3 linked regions of the Mus musculus genome follow. The protein of the gene in region 3 purifies or fractionates together with the protein of the main gene of each other region. This does not show direct contact. Links are inferred from orthologs where the notes say so. Each region holds a gene or a part of one and is shown on either strand. Other genes may lie near its edges. The genes, in order: Canx, Tmed2 and Emc1.

Evidence for each region.
Region 1: the proteins of Emc1 (region 3) and Canx purify together in Homo sapiens (affinity purification with mass spectrometry; 4 studies listed by BioGRID and IntAct, with this or other methods). This does not show direct contact. The link is inferred for Mus musculus from reciprocal best matches to the Homo sapiens genes EMC1 and CANX.
Region 2: the proteins of Emc1 (region 3) and Tmed2 purify together in Homo sapiens (affinity purification with mass spectrometry; 3 studies listed by BioGRID and IntAct, with this or other methods). This does not show direct contact. The link is inferred for Mus musculus from reciprocal best matches to the Homo sapiens genes EMC1 and TMED2.

The regions. Positions count from the first base shown.
Region 1 is NC_000077.6:50,298,073-50,301,791, reverse strand, and holds part of Canx (calnexin precursor), read left to right. Parts: coding exon 1-34; intron 35-737; coding exon 738-894; intron 895-2,447; coding exon 2,448-2,663; intron 2,664-3,555; coding exon 3,556-3,675; intron 3,676-3,719. UniProt on the Homo sapiens protein: Calcium-binding protein that interacts with newly synthesized monoglucosylated glycoproteins in the endoplasmic reticulum. It may act in assisting protein assembly and/or in the retention within the ER of unassembled protein subunits.
Region 2 is NC_000071.6:124,539,411-124,543,590, forward strand, and holds the start of Tmed2 (transmembrane emp24 domain-containing protein 2 precursor), read left to right. Parts: upstream 1-1,380; 5' UTR 1,381-1,451; coding exon 1,452-1,631; intron 1,632-3,561; coding exon 3,562-3,754; intron 3,755-4,180. UniProt on the Homo sapiens protein: Involved in vesicular protein trafficking. Mainly functions in the early secretory pathway but also in post-Golgi membranes.
Region 3 is NC_000070.6:139,362,397-139,366,115, forward strand, and holds part of Emc1 (ER membrane protein complex subunit 1 isoform 1 precursor), read left to right. Parts: intron 1-769; coding exon 770-866; intron 867-1,260; coding exon 1,261-1,383; intron 1,384-1,934; coding exon 1,935-1,943; intron 1,944-2,798; coding exon 2,799-2,998; intron 2,999-3,121; coding exon 3,122-3,271; intron 3,272-3,719. UniProt on the Homo sapiens protein: Part of the endoplasmic reticulum membrane protein complex (EMC) that enables the energy-independent insertion into endoplasmic reticulum membranes of newly synthesized membrane proteins.

The sequences.
Region 1 (3,719 bases), on a different chromosome or scaffold from region 3:
TTCCAGACCCTGATGCAGAGAAGCCAGAGGATTGGTGAGTTTGAGGTTGCTTTTGTCATTACCTGGTTTTTGTTTTAAAAATTTATTTTTATGTGCTTTGGTGTTTTGCCTTAATGTTTGTCTATGTGTCAACTCACTTGGATTTGGAAGAGAAGCCAGTGTTCTTAACTGCTAAACTGCCCCAATTAAAATCAAGCATTTAATCCCAGCAGAGGCAGGCAGATCTCTGAGATTGAGGCCAACCTGGTCTACAAAGTGAGTTCTGGGACAGCCAAAGCTGTTACACAGAGAAATTCTGTCTTGGGCAAACCAAAATCAATCAATCAATCAATCAATCAATCAATCAATCAAAGCAATAGCTATGTGCCCCTCTCCCCCAACAACAACAACAACAAAAAAGAAGCAAAAGGGGAAAAAAAAAAGCTGGGTATAGTAGTACATGCCTTCATCTCAGCACTCAGAGGCGGGTGGATCACTGAGTTCTAGGACAGCCAGGGCTACCAGAGAAACCCTGTCTGAAAACCTAAAGGGAAAAATAAAAAGCCAACTGCCCAAGTTTGAGTGAAAAACCTTACAAACTTTACTAAATTTCATTGGGTAAAAACAAAGTAGGTAGTTTATGAGAGTGCATTGATAGTGGAAATGAGAAATGAGATATCGTTCTGTCATATGCTGCTGGTATAGCTCCAGAAACATGTTGAGAGCATAAGACTAGTTGTTTGTTTATACCTCCACAGGGATGAGGATATGGACGGAGAATGGGAGGCTCCTCAGATTGCCAACCCCAAGTGTGAGTCAGCCCCTGGGTGTGGTGTCTGGCAGCGACCTATGATTGACAACCCCAATTATAAGGGCAAATGGAAGCCTCCAATGATTGACAACCCTAACTACCAGGTTTGTGTCTCCTGATGGTTTAAGTGTTTTTATTAATTTGTTCGTGTCTGGGCAAAAGCTTGATCAATAGTAAGGCCAGCAAATCAAAAAGAGAAAGTAAACTTAAGAGACAGGTGAATATTGGGCTAAACATAAAACCTAAAAAACAGGAAAGAGGAGTGTTCGAACTTGCTATGTGACTATCTTAGTTTGGGTTTCCATTGCTATGAAGAGAAACACCATGACTAAGACAACTCTTAGAAAGGAAAGTAATTAAGGCTGGCTTACAGTTTTAGAGGTTGATTCCATTGTCATTATATTGGGAAGCATGGCAGCCTGCAGGCAGCAGAAGGGGACTCTGCCATATTGGGCAGAGTTTGAGCATACAAGAACTCAAAGCCTGCCCCAACAGTGACATACTTCCTCCAATAAGGCCACACCTAATAGTGTGACTCCCCATGGTCCAAGCATTGAAACACATGAGTCTATGGAGCCCATTTCTCTTCAAACCATCATAGTGAGCTATATCTAAAAATAAAAGTAGGGTAGAAGAACTTAGGGTGTGGATACCCTATTGTTGAGTGCATAGATTGGCTATAAGGGAACTGTGATGGGAATTGGATCTTGCCAAGTCAGCTAATTGCTTGGTCTCATCAGTTTTCTGCCAAAGATAGGTAGGTACATATGAAGCGGTAGTAATATGTATAGTGAAGCTATGAAGCTCCACTTGTGTTCTGGGAAGGTACCAATGTAGATCCTTCCTGGCTTCAGTTTCTAAACCAAAAAACTATAGTCATAAATTTTCGCTTACACTTTTAGATGTATGGTGCATCTATCTATATGTATATATTTTGTTTGCTTTTCTGTTGTAAAATGTTTTTAGTTGTCCATTTAGATAACTGATCAAACAAAAATTATACTTTAGCTTGCCATTTGACTATCTGAATATGTCTTTGTTACATGCTTGTCATTCTAGCACTTGGTTATCTGCATGAGGACCAGGAGTTGAAATGTCAACTTCAGCTATAACTAAGAAGATCAGGGATAGGTTAAGGCTATCCTGGGTGTATGAATCCCTGTTGAACCAAGCCAAACCAAACCAAACATTTAGCTATTCGGTTGGCCACCACCAATTGTGTTTTGTTGAGGATTAGTATTGAGACTGAATCCAGTGTCTCATGCATATTAGGTGTAAGTGCTGTGTTTCTGGCCTACATCCCTAGCCCATTTTTTAAAATCACTTCTGGGGAATGGGAAATGGCTTTACTGACTACATTCCACCATCACTTGTTGAGGGTGGAGTGAGCTACGCAGGACCAGGTGTTGGTTCAGAATAAGATCCTGCAGATTGGAGACTGAATTTGGTAGAAGTCAAGAATTCAGTATAAAAACATTACTAGCATTTATTGTTCTGTGCTTGTTTAAATTTGGCAGTTAATGTTTATCTTCTTTGATCATATAAAATGAGTCTTACATAGATTTTCTTTTTTTGTTATTATCTGAAATGATGTTTTGAAACTTCTTTTGTCTCTGCCTCACCCCCAACCTACTCCCCTCTCCAAATCACAAACTAGGGAATCTGGAAACCAAGGAAAATACCAAATCCAGATTTCTTTGAAGACCTAGAACCTTTTAAGATGACTCCTTTCAGTGCTATTGGTTTGGAGCTCTGGTCCATGACATCCGACATCTTTTTTGACAACTTTATCATTAGTGGTGACCGAAGAGTAGTTGATGATTGGGCCAATGATGGGTGGGGCCTGAAGAAAGCTGCTGATGGGGCTGCTGAGGTTAGTGATTGTTCATTAATTGTGGATTTATATCCACTTTTGGGGGAGACTGATTACTTTATAAAAAGCAGATTTTTAGTGTTTATCTTTTTACTTATTCAGTGTCAAAATATATAATTGTTAGACTCCTATTCTGGCTTTCCAATCCTGTTATATGTATGTGTATATTTGTATCTGTTTATCATTTTATTTTATTTTATTTTGTCTTCAAGACAGTTTTTCTGTGTAGCCCTAGCTGTCTTAGAACTTGCTCTGTAGACTGGGAGGGCTCAAACTCACAGGGACCTACCTGCCTCTGCCTCCAGTGTTTCAATTAAAGTTATGTGTTATTGCACCTGGCTTAAGTATGTTTTAATGCACTGAAAATGCTGAATCTTGGTTGGAATTGTGTGGAATTTTCAAATAACTAATGGTGTTGTTGAGTTGCGATTTGGATGGCCAGAAAACTGGCAGAAAGATAATTCTTCTGTTTCCTGAGTAAGGAACTTTTTGCAGTTATTACAAGCCACAGTTTGCACCTATGCAGGTGAAACTTCATGATGATAAAAGCAGTAAAGCGGGGGATTTTTTTTTCCCCCTAATTTCTATTTTTTGTTTTGTTTTCTTTTAACTTGGTTTTTCGAGACAAGGTTCCTCTGTGTCTCCCTAGCTGTCCTGGAATTCACTCTGTAGACCAGGCTGGCCTTGAACTCAGAAATCCGCCTGTCTCCTAAGTGCTGGGTTTAAAGGTGTGCGTCACCCACCACTGCTCGGCTTTTCCTAATTTCTTAATGTGCATAGTTTGACTCCTTTGGAAATAAAGGAGTTAGTTGTATGAATATGAAGCAATCAGTCGAGTCTGTATTTGGTGTCATAAACCAGTTCTCTGAATTACTGTTGTTTGGTATTTCAGCCAGGTGTAGTGCTGCAGATGCTGGAGGCAGCTGAAGAGCGTCCATGGCTTTGGGTGGTCTACATTTTGACTGTAGCTTTGCCAGTGTTCCTTGTGATCCTCTTCTGCTGTTCTGGAAAGGTAGGAATGTCTAACTAAATAATTGTATCCACTGAGATTTTCTT
Region 2 (4,180 bases), on a different chromosome or scaffold from region 3:
GTGAGGATTAGATGCATTATATAATACTGGGAGGATTATATGCAGAACAAAGTGAACATTGTATTGTATTGTATTGTATTGTATTGTATTGTATTGTATTTTAGAGACAGTGTTTCTCTGTGTAATATAGCATTCACTGCCCTGGACTTGCTTTGTAAACCAGACTGGCCTCGAACTTACCTGCCAAATGCTGGGATTAAAGGCCTATAGCGGGGCTGGTGAGATGGCTCAGCGGGTAAGAGCACCCGACTGCTCTTCCGAAGGTCCGGAGTTCAAATCCCAGCAACCACATGGTGGCTCACAACCACCCGTAATGAGATCTGGCTTCCTCTTCTGGACTGTCGGAAGACAGCTACAGTGTACTTACATATAATAAATAAATAAATAAATTAAAAAAAAAAAAAAAGGCCTATAGCACCATGCCCAGCTTTCTGAACAAGGTGAAATTTTACAATATCATATGCATAGACTTCCTTCCTTTCTTCCTTCCTTCCTTCCTTCCTTCCTTCTTTCCTTCCTTCCTTTCGCTGCTGTTGCTGTGTCACCCTGGCTGCACTGGAACTTTTCTATATAGGGACCAAGGAGGACTTGAACTCACTGCTTCGCATAGATTTAAAAAAAAAAAGATTTATTTTTATTCCTTTAACTACGTGTTCCTGGGTGGGGGTGAGTGTTAGCAGTGAGCATGTAGCCAGAGGTAATTGACTTTCAGCATCCTCAGAGATTCTCTGTGGGATGGTTTTGAGTGTTCTCCACCCCTGCCAGCTTAAATAAGCAAGGTGATGGGGGAGCAAACCAAAGAAACAACAAAAAAATTGGATTTCTCATCTTTATCATCCACCTCTCAGAGACCCCAGTTTTGAGACTCACTGAATGTCTTTATCTACTCGGATAATCCTAAAACTGTGAAACCCTGTATACTATCACTTTCTGAATAAGTCCATGCGATCTTTATTTATTGCTATTATGTTTTAAATTTTATGTTTGAGTATCTGGACAGCATGTGTGTGCGGTGCCCGCGGTGGTCAGCAGAGGGGGCATTAGATCCCTTGAAACTGGGTACAGACGGTTGTGGGTCATCGTGCGAACTCTGGGACTCGAACTCGGATCCTCTGCAAAAGCAACTAGCAGGTTCTGTCGGTGCAGCGCCTTTTCGCCGCTCCTAGTCCACGTGATCATTGGCCCACGTCGAAGGGCTTGAGTGGAGGGATTGTTTTTTTGGCTCCTCAGGGCCACTGTCCAACCTCAGCATCCGCCTTGTCCCTCCGCGGCCGCCGTGCGTCCGTTACGTGGCAGCCGTCGGCCCCGGCCAATGAGCGGCGCCCGCATCAGCCCCCTTGGGAGGCGCCGCCGGAAGGGGCGGAGCTGAGGCGGCGGGCGGCTGAGGCGGCAGCGGTGGCGGCGGCTCCGGAGGCCGCAGTCCGCGTCCCGGCGTCGGCCCGTCCCGCACCATGGTGACGCTCGCCGAGCTGCTGGCGCTGCTGGCCGCGCTGCTGGCCACGGCCTCGGGCTACTTTGTCAGCATCGACGCGCACGCCGAGGAGTGCTTCTTCGAGCGGGTCACCTCCGGCACCAAGATGGGCCTCATCTTCGAGGTGGCGGAGGGCGGCTTCCTGGACATCGACGTGGAGGTGCGCGGGCCCGGCGCCCGCTCGCCGTCGGGGCGCCGTCGCGAGTCCCTCTCGGGGGGTTGGCGGGTCCCGGGGTAGAGCGCGGGGTGGCCCCGCGCGGGACAGCGCTCGACAAGGGCGCGGGCCGGGGAGGGGCCTCGTTGCCGTCGCCGCCACCGCCCGTCGCGCAGCCCTCCGACGGGCCCTGCCCGCGCGTCTCGGAAAGCGCTCGTCTCTCCGAGCGCCTTCGGGCCAGGCTCGGGACTCGGGCGCGGACTCGGCCTTTCCCCCTTGGCTTTGTCCCGCGGCGGCCGCGTGTCACTCAGCCCGGGAGGGAGCGACTCGGCGTGGTTCTCCTCGGTCCCTCCAGGGCTCGCACGGGGCGGCGTGGCGCGGAAACAAACTTTGCCGAGTAGGTCGGAAGTTGGCGGAGTAGCACTAAGGCGGAGAAAGTGGCTTTGGCAGAAACCAGCTTAACTTCCTAGCCGCATCCTTACGCAAGCGCCAGATGTGACCCGCGAGGGATGCACTGAGGTCATTTAGTTTTAGGAGAGGCTTTCAGCTAAGTGTTTTAGAAAAGTTACTTGTCTGGAGAATAAAAATGATCGGCCGAGTTGTTTGAGACAGGATTGCCTTTTGTAGTTCTTGGGTATCGAACTCACTTTAGGAGGGATAGGATGAAGGGCGTGTACCGCCGGTCCCTACAGTTTGCTGCATTCAAAAAAAAAAAAAAAAAAAAAGACCATATACAGTAGTTTTAATTTGCTTGCTAGTATTCCTGACTGGGTGTAAAGAGGGAATACAAGTAGTGGCACTCCAAAAAAGTTTGGAGACCGCATGGATTAGCCAAGACCTTAGATAAAAGATGAGTACTTCCAGTTTCTCAAGTTTTGCAGGTGGACTGGCTCTCAAAGAAGCAGGGCTCGGGCTAGAGAGATGGCTCAGCAGTTAGGGGTACATGCCGCTCTTTGTTCAATACAAGCGTTGACTCCAGACATTGGGTGCCCCTTTGGCACCTCCGTACATTTTCATGCACAGCCTTAAAGGGGGAAGGTTTGATGGTGCCTGGCAGCTGATTTGTATTGTTCCTGCTTGAGAATTCGGGTTTTCTAATTTCCAATCTAGTGCACTTCCCTAAGCCTTAGCATGTCAGATAAGTTACAGCCCTTTGTTGTTCGAAGTGACCACAAAAACCTTAAAGGTGCTTTTATAAAATTACTCATTTTGGTAGGGTGAAATAGGAGCACACCAACTTTTTTTTTTTTTTTTTTTGGTACAACTGATAAATTATATGTTAAATAAGTATCAACAGTCAACACAAATCCAAAACCACCCACCAGCCCTGGGAACAAGAAACAGCTGGTGGTTTCCTCTAGGGTGTTCCTAAGGAAGGACATGGCGGCACCCACTGTGTGCAGCACACATGACAGTGGCGAGTGGCTACTGGGATGGGGCCTGAGAAGGGCTTTGGTCTCCTGCAGGAGAATCAATGGCCTTGGGCACACTTTTAATCCCGCATTCAAGACAGGTCGCTGGATCTCTGAATCTGAACCCAGTTTGGACCAGTAATGAGACCCTATCTCAAATCAAAAATAAATAAAATTACTCATTTAGGAAAACTTTGTTCCTAGGTTGTGATTTCAGCCTTGCCAGTTTTTGTTGAAGTTAGACAGTTGGAGGCCATGTGGAGAGTTGTCCTGCTTCTCTTTCTGAGAGGTTTACATTTCGCTTGGACAGGTAATACCTAAAGGATAAAGAGTGAAGAGGTGTTTTAGGGAACTGTTGACTCTGTGCTAGTTTGATTTAAGTGGGAGAGTTAGTGCCCAAAGTGTACACTGGCTCCCTGTAGGGGGACCTACTCAAGTTCCAGCCTATTGGATATTTTTCCTGTGAGGATGCTGCTAAAGATCCTAAATGTTTAGTGAGTTTTCTGTTTCTCTCCTGCCTCCAGATCACAGGACCAGATAATAAAGGAATCTATAAAGGAGACCGGGAGTCCAGCGGGAAGTACACATTTGCAGCCCACATGGATGGGACATACAAGTTCTGCTTTAGCAATAGGATGTCCACTATGACTCCAAAGATAGTAATGTTCACCATTGACATTGGGGAGGCTCCCAAAGGACAAGACATGGAGACAGAAGGTGAGGTGTCTCTTTGGACTCAGAGCTCATCTCAGTTCAGTTCACTCATCCATCTTAGTACTGTGTGTGTGACTTTCTCTCCAGATTCATGTCTTAAAAACAAAATTCCTGTTGAAGTGGATGTTACTGTCTATTGTCAGTGATTTTGGTTGTGCCTTCTGGCAGCCATGAGTCACTCTGCTCATGTAAATCCCCAGACTCCATGGCCCTGGGTTCTGTTACCTGGCTGATCCTGGGGTCCACGTGTACCTCTGTTTCTGTTTGCAGACATGCTAGCTTAGCTAAACTCCTTCTTTTGTCTACACCTTACATTTTTCTCTAGGTGGTGGAGACTCCTGGGATGGTATGTGGTGCTTTTGTGTGACAGCATCCTGTTTTTTTTTTGGTTTAGCATCCTTTTGTTTACTGATATCTAATTTCTGATTC
Region 3 (3,719 bases):
TGTGTACCACATGGGCACATAGAACATTGGATCCCCTGGAGCTGGAGTTACAGACAGTTGTGAGCTGCCCTGTGGTAATAGGAATTTAACCTGGGTCCTCTACAATAGTAATACATGCTCTGACTCTCCAGCCCACTGCTGTTGCTGTGTGTGAGGCCTTGCACTTAGCTGTTGTTTATGTGTTAATCCGTAGGGCATCTTGGCAGTCTTGTGGATTGGTTGTTACTGACCTGGCTTGTGAATGTGCCATTGCCCAGGGCATTTTGAGCCATGGAGCTAGTAAGACTTGTTGCTGGGGTTCACACTCCAGATGGGCTCCCTAGTAAGACGTGTTGCTGGGGTTCACACTCCAGACGGACTCCCTAGTAAGACGTGTTGCTGGGGTTCACACTCCAGACGGACTCCCTAGATGTACTAATACTCTTACCCAGTCTTCTTCTGGGACATTGAATTGTATCCCTCAGCTCCTGGGATGGGGCCTCTTTAGTCCTAAAATGGGAAGTCCTGGCCTGGCCTTCTGCTCACCTTGTTGGGTCCAACTGGGGCATGGAGGTATGATAGCCCCTCAAATACTTGCTGCCCTTCATAGACACATCAGCGAGAGCCTCACCTCATTGCTGGCTTTAAAGAGTTTGTGCTTTCTTGCCAATGCTCAGATAATTACTGTATTGTGTAGACATCATGGCCTGGATCTCAGCCGACTCCCAATCCTTCTAATCTTGGGGTCCAGTACCTTGGTGCCACTTGGCATCTTACTGTTGGCTTCTAGCTGTACATCCAGGTGTTCTTGAAGAAGGACGACTCGGTGGGCTACCGGGCCTTGGTGCAGACACAGGACCATCTGCAGCTGTTCCTGCAGCAGCTTGGTAAGTGCCTCATGCAGCCATGTTTGTGTCTGCTTTAAAGTCCAGTCATTGCGGGAGGTGTGTGTGTGTGTGTGTGTGTGTGTGTGTGTGTGTGTGTGTGTGTGTGTGTGTGTGTGTGTGTGTGTGTGTATGGATGTGTGTGTGTGTGTGTGTGTGCATAGGCTTGGGAAAGATTCAAGCAGAGTGTACCATGCCAATTTACCCAGTTCCTCGAGATAGAGAAGCTTCCTCACTTGACTGCTGACCTCAGCCTCATGAGATCTTTTGCATAAGACTTGAACTCTGAGCCACCTCTAGCTGAGCTCTTACAACCTGGTTTCTTGTAGCTGGGAAGGTAAGAGTCTCCTCAGGGCTAGGCAGCCAGGCTGAGCTCTTACAACCTGGTTTCTTGTAGCTGGGAAGGTGGTGTTGTGGAGCCGAGAGGAGTCCCTGGCAGAAGTCGTGTGCCTGGAGATGGTGGATCTCCCCCTGACTGGAGCGCAGGCTGAGTTGGAAGGAGAATTTGGCAAGAAGGCAGGTATGAACATAGGGAGGCGGCTCCAGGGCGGGTCAGCTGCGTTTATGGATTTACTGTGTCCCTGGCTTCTGGGCTCAGCCCGATGTTCTGAGGAATCCTGTGGCCAGTTTCCAGTGCATCAGCAGCCCCATGGCTTATGCAGCCACACTTTTGCTGAGTCCCTCTAGTGAAAGATCCTGAGGCAAAAATGTCTTTGCTTAGTATAATAGTAGGTGTCATTGTCTAGGTACCTAAAGTTAGTTGTCAGGCTCCGTGTCACACATCTTCACCCACTGTCTCCAGTGCCACAGCTACACCTAGAGAGGTGTGATTGGAGATAGCCCGATGCTCTCTGAGCTGGCAATGGCTCCATCAGTGGTTATCTGATGAGTTTGGTTCATTCCTCTCCAGTCCCGTCCTGGCCTCCCCGCCCTTCCTTCATCCATTCATCCAGCTGTGCAGTAGGCAGCTGTTGAGGGCATCTTTTGGATCGGGTACACAGCTAGTGTTGTGTATTTTCTTAAGCTGAGAATTAACTTAACTTTACTGTCTATTTCTGCTGCTGGACCCAGCGATTCAAGGTAAATCTTGCTTTTGCTGCCTGTTACGTCTTGTGTGCCCACACGGCTAGCATTTGGTTGGCTGTTTTTCTGACTTGCAGGCACTGTGTATGTGTGGATTGTTCTGCTTGTGACTTGTTGCTCTGTCTCTCTGTGAATTGTGGTTGGTGGAAAAAGATGAGCAAAGATTATTCCCTTAATGAGCACTTCCCCACACTAACGTTAGTACAACAGATCATACGTCATATGATCTGTTCTTTATAACGGGCCTCTGGGTTTCATGCCATCTAATAGATGAGGGACCAAAGGCACAAGGTTAAGCACATTTCTTAGGGTCTTACAGTAGAAGGCACCAGGGCTGGGATTTCAATTTATGCGAGACCTTCCTCCTTATGGTATCCTGCACTTGTCTCTGAGGGAGATGCCTCACCAATGGAGTCAGAGCAAGGGAATGATGGCCTTAGGAATAGGTTGCAGAAAGGGATGCTGGGAACAGGTAGTGAAGTAGAGTGAAGTAATGGGAGACAGAAGCACTGTTCATGCGCACACCTGCTTCTGCTGCACCCGAGGCCCACACTTCTCTGCCTTCCCTTGGTTGTCACAGCATGGCTGCATCCTGCATGGCTGACTCTTACCTCTTAGTCTCCTATTAACAAGATTCTAGGTAGGTGAAGTCCTAGGAGCCAGGTAAGGAGGCTTTGGAAGATTGTGCATGGCTGCACCAGAGTGTGGGACTGCTGGCATCTTGAACAGACTGCCTGGAGTAGGACTGACTGGAAGGTCCTTCAGGAGAGGGAGAGGCCCCTCCTGGGTAAGCACACCCCTTCCTGCTGGGTTTCTAGTCTGATGGAGTACCTTCTTCCTCCCCGACACCAGATGGCTTGCTGGGGATGTTCCTGAAACGCCTGTCGTCCCAGCTCATCCTGCTCCAGGCCTGGACTTCCCACCTCTGGAAAATGTTCTACGATGCTCGGAAGCCCCGAAGCCAGATTAAGAATGAGATCAACATCGACACACTGGCTAGAGATGAGTTCAACCTGCAGAAAATGATGGTGACGGTAACAGCCTCAGGCAAGGTGAGCACACGAGCCCGAGAGAGCAAGTGCAGGTGCAGGCAGCAGGCTTGCTCTGTTCCAGTTTTCGAGGATAGAATTGATCAGTTTTTTCCTGTCACGAGTCAGCATTTGTTTTTCTTGCAGCTCTTTGGCATCGAGAGCAGCTCTGGAACCATTCTGTGGAAGCAGTATCTGCCCAATGTTAAGCCAGACTCCTCCTTTAAGCTGATGGTGCAGAGGACTACTGCCCATTTCCCCCATCCACCCCAGTGCACGCTGCTGGTGAAGGACAAGGTGAGGCCAGCCATGCCGACTGCAGCCCAGTGTGTTGCCTTTGCGTATTTCACAGCTGAGATTTCTCCCATGTTTTGGGCATTCCATGAGAAGCTCTTGGGTTGGAAGGCCTCATTTTTGCCAGTTTCTGGCCTGGGTGGAGGAGCCATCCAGCTGTGACGGGGAACTGGCTAGGAACCAGACCCACCTTCACCAGCGCAGTTAGCAGTTAGGCTATCCCTGGTAGCTGATATAATCACAAAGCTATTATGATTTCTGCCTCTAGAATTTGAATGGATTTTTGTGGATCCATTTTAGCTGTATTGTGAGGTAGGGTTTGGTAGATATTCTTTTGCACCCAACAAGCATTAGATGGCTGACTTGGTTTTGAGAGCACATGGTCTCAAATAGCCCTGACTAGTCTAAAACCAGCTATGTAGACCAAGTGGCTTCAGACTTGCAGAGATGA